2 linked regions of the Schizosaccharomyces pombe genome follow. The protein of the gene in region 2 interacts with the protein of the main gene of each other region in a biochemical or structural test. Each region holds a gene or a part of one and is shown on either strand. Other genes may lie near its edges.

Region 1 (3,760 bases), on a different chromosome or scaffold from region 2:
GAAAGAGAAGATACAGAATCTGAATTTTGGATTCTTTTGTCTGTGGCACACGTTTTCCTTGATGCTTTTACTACGAAAATTCTCCGTATTGTTCGACCGATTCTACTATTCCCATTAGCAGGGAAATTTTTGGGAAGGTTTATTCCAGGGAATTTCACAAAGTTAGAGAAGAGCATTATTGGTGCCTTTGCTGCATTAGTTTTTAAGGACATTTTTGTCTATGGTTTCATTGCTTGGAGAAAGAGAAAACCCTGGAGCATTCGAATTCTCGACAATCCTCGTAGAGTTTCTGACTCATAAGCAAACAATGAAGTTGTCAAACTGTTAAGTTCCGGCAATATTTCTTTCACGCATTTACTTTTTAAAAATACTCATGAACTTAATTTAAGCCTTTTATTACGAGCAATATTCTAAAACCGTGTTATCGATTTATTCGAATCCAAAAATAAATATAAAGATGCTGATAGCATTAATAATTTTTATAACTTATAAAATTTCCAATCTGGAATTATTTTTCTTTTTTATGAAGCTTCCGTCTCCATCTCTTTATCTGTATCAGATGATTTTTTTGGCTGGGCGGCTGTCGACAGTATTTGGTCGTCCACCGTACTTTTTGATGGGGTTTCTGTGTTTAGGGAATGAAATGAGTCAGTTCTTCCTGATGAATTTTGATGTTGAGGGGTAGCTTGTGTCGAGACGGAAGCCAATGACGACGGTGTCCCAGGAGCTACGCTGGAAGCATGAGATCCGTTTTTTTGGTCGATTGGAAGGGCTTGTTTGGAAGGGTTTATCTTTTTGTATAACGAGTCGATTAGTGTCAACACTCCTGCATTGTTAGTGCTAAGGCTATAAAAAAATATATAATATACCTTTAACGTCTTCATAAGAAACTTGAGACTCTTCCATCCATACCGGAAGCCCATCAGTCGTAGTAGAGAGATTTATTTCGTTCTTTTCTAATGCAAATTGGAATGCTGCAGCAGCTATAGTTTTCGGAGAGTAAAGTAGACATGCGATACTTCTAGTGCTATCGTTAATGTATGTCCAAGCAACCTTAGTGACATTTTTATCATCAGCCACGAATTTTTTGATAAAACTTAGGACGTAAGGATATGGATGTTCAACCGTAAAGTCAAAGCATAAAGCTTCTAACAGTACTTCCTCTGTGTACAAGATAACATCTCTCCACCGCCAGTATTCTTTGGTTTGCTCGTCAACCAAAACATTGCTGTTTTTTTGAGCAACCTTTGCACAGTTAATTACAATATCGCGAAGTTTACGAACGGAATCCTCAACCTTGGTTGCCAAGAAAATGCAAGTAGCAGCAACTTCATAATAATGATAATTTTTGAGTGAGAATCGAAGATAAAATCGATGGAAATAGATGTTAGCAGTAGCAAGCGCAGTTTGAGGTCTGTTATTATTGTTAGTTTCATTAATTTACTGAACTGATACATCGTAATTAACGTACAGTTTTAATCTCAGCCCGACATTTATAATGAAATTGCATCCTTTAGATCTTTGAATTTCTTCTTGATCTAAAGGTATCCCATCTAATGCAGATGGAGTAAATACCAACTGATCTTTACTTATTATCCACTGAGAAGTGTTTTGAGAGCCCGGGGGTACAGATTTTATTACTTCACTCATGTGAAATTCATCGATTTTATATATGAGATTACCGTCGCCAAATTATTAAAAACAAACTATAATTGAGCAAGAATAAGCAAAATCAAAGAACAGTAAATCATTTAGTATATAATTAACATACCTCAACTAAAGAATGCGAAGAATGGAGGGTGGTTACTATCTTTCAGGGGGAAATCTACCACAACGATGCTTGTCCATTTACGTTGATTGAATATAGTGATTATTAGAATAATTCGTAAGTCAGTTTTAACGATTTTGACGGTCTCAACGATTGTTTAATTTTAAGTCTTTGTAAGATATTCAAAAAATCAACTGTATACTTATAAATCGTTCTGCTAATCTCTTATAAACAACTCTTTTTTAGGTTAAAGCCGATACCAAAGAGATGAAATGAACTTTTCCAAATGATTGATGTTACCTACTTCATCAACAATTGCCTAATTCTTGACAGTATATTGAATACGATGGATTAAAAGTGGTAATCATTTTGAAAGGGACCATTTATGCAATAATATCATCCTTTAATTGTAGTGAACATAAAATACTTAGTTACTATTTAGACTAGTACTTTTTTTAGAAGAGGACTTCGTTATCCATGAATTAAGAAGCTTGTTGCGCTTCAATAAGCTTATTCACTTTGGCTGTTCTTTTCCGTTTTATAAAGTGTTTCTTACACGAAATAACTACTTGTATGCATTCAATTTCTTGCTTATAAGTTTTTTGCTTGTCTTCACAATCGGTGGAACTTGAGCAAATTTTCAAGTACTTAAATAAGAATTGGCTGTTGAAGGTCAATTAATTAAGTGTTGGGTTTGCCTTGATTTCGATAAATACCATAAAACTTGTCTATATTATTTATTTTCTGTGTCAAATTTTAATGAGCCTTTCCTTCTCTATTTTTTTAATTACCAAGTCTATCATTTTCATTTAATTTTACAATGTCATCAGCGAAAGTAAGGTTCATACGAATATGCATGAGAACCTAAGCGTCAGTCACTAACCCCTTTGTTATAGTATGTAGTGGGCAGCAAACCAACGGAAAAGAGACCCAAGGATATAAAAAGCATTAAGTCTGTGCCGATATGTGAAAAACATAGGGCTAGTGTAGTAAAAGATATCTCTCGCAAGATCTCTCGAATTCAAAGTGGTACGTCCTAGATTGTTTTATTAGCAAATTTAATTAACTTGCTAAACTTGATTCCGCTTTTATCATTTCTGTGTATTCTAACCATGAATAGCAACGTTGCCTGAATATCAAATTCGAGATTTGAACGATGCAATTAATCGATTGATGCGTGAAAAACACGAATGGGAGGTACAAATTCGTGATCTGGGTGGGATTAATTATCTGTATAATAAAGCAAAGCTATTTGAGGATGAAGGAGAACAAATCAGTGATATAGACGATTATCGTTATTACGGAAGAGCTCGAGAGTTACCTGGCGTTAAGGAACTTTTTGAAGCTGATATGAGTTTTATACCGGAAAGACAGCGCAAACAGGAGATGCAGAAAAGAAGGTTAGACGCCTGGTACTTTGGTTACATACCGCCAGCACAAGAGAGTCTATTAGAAGATTTTGAGGCAAAGATTGAAGAACAACAACATAAACATCTTGAGAACCTTGGTGATGAAGTTGAACAAGATTGGAAACCTCTTGTCATTGAGCAAATACCAACTAGAGACGATGTTGAAGCCATTCTTTTAGAAAGGCGTAAAAATGCTTTGCTGAGCAGAATTTCATAGATTATGAAGTAGGACTAGGATAGGAGAATTAATTTTATATTTTAAGTCTGCTTTGACATCGTAAACTATGAAGGATTTTTTAAAGAGATAAATAATTGGGATCTTCACAAGCTTCGTATTCATTGATCAAGTCGGCAACGACGTCGCTGTCAAATACATTAGTAAATTAACTCAAAATATGAAATTATAAGACAAGATACTTACCGAGAAGAATCGAATTCGTTAAGATCATCTTCGAAAATAGCCTCCTTTTTATATTGCTCTAAAAAGGCATTTCGTTTCCGCAAACGATCATATTGATCTAGTGTTCTCTTGAATAACTACAAAGATTAGTATTAAATGTCTCAAAAAAAAATTTGCAGAAAC
Region 2 (3,760 bases):
TTCTACTAAGCCCATCCTTAGTCGAACCTTTGTCTAACAAAGACGTTGTCAGTCTGTCTTTATCAGGAGTAGCAAAGTTCGTCTCAGCAATCTGAGAATCATCGCTTTCGGTGCCATTATCTATACCGTTCCATTCTTCATCATCAAGATCGCCACGCGCTTTTTTAACGCGATATTTCACATCAGATTCAGCCTTGCGTTTAGTATAATCAGAATACATTGAATCCAAGTCAGCCTCTAAGCGATCGCGCTCATCGTCACTATCGTATTCGACTTCATTGTCCGTAGAAACTTCTTCGTCAACAGATTCAGTTACGGGAAGCGTTCCATTTTCCAATTCTTTTAAACCATGCTTTTCAGCGGTTGCTAGACCAAACAAACTGTCTTCGCCCATGGCTTCATGTTCCAAGCCAATATCCATTGGGGCCAACATTCCCATTTGCATACGAACAATTTCACGCTGTTTACGCTGATTCGCTTTCCGACGCTCACGTTTGAGTTTAACACGTTCGGCTTCACTCAAATCTTGTAATTCTTGATCCAGTCTCTCTTCTTCATCCATTTCAGGAATCTCCTCAACCACTGTTTTTTGCTCATCCTCTACCTTTTTACCTATACCCATCTCATCTCTTATTTTCAGTCGCCATCTCAAAATATCGCGGAATTCTTTTTTACCTAATACTTGTAAATCTGAGCAACACAAAAGAATTTCTTCAGTAGTGACGTCTAAATTGTATAAGCGTTGACATTCCTCATCATCTTTTGGGAATACAATTTCAGCGGATGTACCAAGGATTTGAATGGGATCATTTGCGGTAACAAATTCCGATGCCAAGACAGTTTTGTGTAATGTGTAATCATCGTCAGCGTAACCCTCACGACTACGTTTTCTTTTTTCAGGATGGAACACTTTTGCATCAACGTTTGTAACTGGCTCTTGGACTTCTTCGAAAACGGTACGAGGATCTGTAAAGCGAGGATCTAACTTTTTTGGTGCTTTGTACCCACGACATACGACAAAAATTTCTGCAGAGACGTTACGAGAAGATGGAGGTTTAGTAGCCTCAACTTTATTAAAAAGTTGTTTGAATACCCATAAAAGATTATTATAATCCCTTGAACGAAAAACTTTTGTAACAAATGTACCACCAGCAACCAAAAATTCACATGCTAATTTCATTGACATTAGCACCAACTGAGCTTGTCCATAGGCGTCCTGCAACCATGCAGAACCAACATTTGGTGCACCATCATGAAGAACACTGCTCAATGCATTAATAAAAATTCGACAAAAACCAATATGGGCAACAAATATTCTAATCAGTTCAATCAAATTTCTAAGATTGCAAGTGAAACAAGAATAGTTGCACCCGTTTAACCGCTTCCTGCAGCATATCAATTACTTACACATCAGCTTTCCAAGTTTTCAAATATCCACGCAATTGCGATCTGCATTTATCACTTGTAATATCCTCAACAAACGTATGGCAATTAGGAATGGGTTTAATAGGAGCAAGATCAACACCAACGATTAATGAGCCAGGTTTGCATGTTTTAGAAGCAACCTGTAACCAACCACCTGGACTGTTTTGACGGTCAGTGTAAAAGGATTTTGAATAATAACTATACAACTTACGCAGCACAAAGATCAATGATGACTTTAGCTTTTTCAAGGAAACTATATTTCTGATTCAATTGCACTAATTTAAAAGCAGCACGAGAACGATACCCTAAACGTTAAAAAGTGTTCATTGTAGCTATTAATAAATACCTTGTTCTTTGGCAAGCTTATACCATTTATCCAAACGGCCTTTGGCCGTCTTTTTTTGTGATTTACCCATGTGGTTTTATCGGTGCAAAAATTGGTGAAAGGCAAAAGGCAACTGGCAAATAGCGTACAGTACACTACAACATAGACTAAAGAAAAGATACTGTCAAAGCACTTAAAATTAAAAATCTTGTTTATTTTTGAATAAGATAAAAAAATATTAAACAGTATGAAATAAGATTGGAGAAAATTGCTTTTGAATATGTTAATACTACAATATTTTAATGCTCAGTTAAAAAAATTACGAATTATTTCATTATATTCATACATTAATAGTAAGTATATTAAAAAATATTGTAGAGTAACGAGAGACAAATTATAGAAAAGTAGGTAGTTTAGAACCTTCATCAGACGAAAAGTGTAGCCCATTTAAATTGTTTTTTAACTTCTTTGAGATATCACTACTGGAAAGTGAAAAAGAAGATAGTTGTTTACATAAACTTTGATCTTCACTTGCAGAGGAAGATTCACTACACGTTTCCCAATCATGGTTTTCCAAAAACCTGTCAACCTTTTCCACATTAGACTGAGTCGGTGTATCATCAAGTGAATTAGTAAATTCACCTTTGGGAGGAGTACGTGATAACAATGGCTCTATCATTTGACGAAGCGACACAGAAGCAGGAGTCGTCGAACTTCCAGTAAGCTTGACAGAGTTATGAGGTGTGTCGTGCTGCGAAGGAAGTATCTCCTTTATATCAGTGACCGGAATCGACGAAGATGAAGCATCGGGAGACAAACACGGCTCTCTGGGACCATGCCGAGAGCCTTTCCTCCTAGGGGAAAGTGTATTACTTTTAGAATGATTCTTGAATAAGCAACCACTAGATGTTTCCCTTACTAATCTCTTACTTTTCGAAACACTTCGAGTATCAGGACTTTGGTTAACCATTCTATCAATTAACGGCTCTTCATGAGAGGCTAGCCTAAGAGGAAAACGAATGCTTTTTTTGCTTTGGACATCAATGTTTCTTAACTTTTTATTTTCGATCTTACCTGTGGTTTTCCGCGCAGGTGGCGATGACTCTGGTGAAGATTTGCTATTGTCATTAGAGGAAATATTCTCTTGATTCTGCAAAATTGGTGGAGAATGTATCATTAATAATCTTGAAGACAATGGTTTTCCAAAGACATAAATTTTCTTTTCGTTATCCTCCTCCCACTCCCTTAATGCGCATATTAATTTAGCTTTCAGTAATTGAAAATCCTTTTGCAAGCGCTTTAAAGTGAAAGGCTGCGAAGCTGATCCAGACAATACCTTCATTCTTTGAGATTCTTTATAAACCCTAGACTCTAAGAGAAGATACCGCCTAATCATGTTGTTCAATTCCCCTTGAAGATGGAGATCAACTTCTAGGTTCCCAATTTCTTGTTTCATACTTTGAATTAATTCTCGATTAACGTTAGGTATTTCTTTAAATTGAGATGTAAACAACATTTCTTTTTTAGAAACGAACATTATGCGAGCCAGTGAAAGGTACCTTTTTTGTAAAAACTCGTATTCAGTTTTATACTTAACAAAGTACACTTTTCGCATGGACGAAAGTTCATTTTCCCACTATATTGTTAGTTTGAAAATAATTATTTTAATAAAAATATCAAATTCTTACCAAAGTCAAGGTTTTATCACTATAGTTGGTCGGTAACTCAGAAGTCGGGTTTTTACCACACATATTTTTCATTTCGTTGACAATTTCATCGACCCGGGACTTCCTGCTTTCTAAAGAAAATCTGAGCTTCTCCTTGTAAATTATCAAATGCTTTATTCCGTTTTTGGACAAATCATCAGCGGGCATGCTAAGTTTTATAGACAAAGAATCCTGCAGTTTTTTTAATTCCTCTTTAATTTCAATGTTTTTTTCTTTCCTAAGTCTGTATATCTGATGAAGTTCATTTAATTTTGCTGACAACTGCTCAAGCTTTATATCCGAT

Evidence for each region. The genes of interacting proteins can lie anywhere in the genome.
Region 1: of the proteins of spb1 (region 2) and pch1, one has a biochemical effect on the other in vitro, tested with the Schizosaccharomyces pombe proteins (one study listed by BioGRID).

The regions. Positions count from the first base shown.
Region 1 is NC_003423.3:2,792,856-2,796,615, reverse strand, and holds the start of pch1 (P-TEFB-associated cyclin T Pch1), read right to left. Parts: upstream 1,796-3,760; 5' UTR 1,772-1,795; intron 1,707-1,771; 5' UTR 1,651-1,706; coding exon 1,472-1,650; intron 1,415-1,471; coding exon 870-1,414; exon of another isoform or gene 827-869; coding exon 522-826; 3' UTR 301-521; coding exon of another isoform or gene 1-300. Other genes in the region: SPOM_SPBC32F12.07C (MARCH family ubiquitin-protein ligase E3), read left to right, coding at 1-300; protein Cwf12, read left to right, coding at 2,589-2,603, 2,665-2,797, 2,889-3,394; gamma-tubulin Gtb1, read right to left, coding at 3,474-3,540, 3,599-3,714.
Region 2 is NC_003424.3:920,395-924,154, reverse strand, and holds the start of spb1 (rRNA methyltransferase Spb1), read right to left. Parts: upstream 1,875-3,760; 5' UTR 1,842-1,874; coding exon 1,772-1,841; exon of another isoform or gene 1,731-1,771; coding exon 1,637-1,730; exon of another isoform or gene 1,585-1,636; coding exon 1,408-1,584; exon of another isoform or gene 1,263-1,407; coding exon 1-1,262. Other genes in the region: protein mcp1, read right to left, coding at 2,145-3,386, 3,439-3,760. UniProt on the Schizosaccharomyces pombe protein: Required for proper assembly of pre-ribosomal particles during the biogenesis of the 60S ribosomal subunit.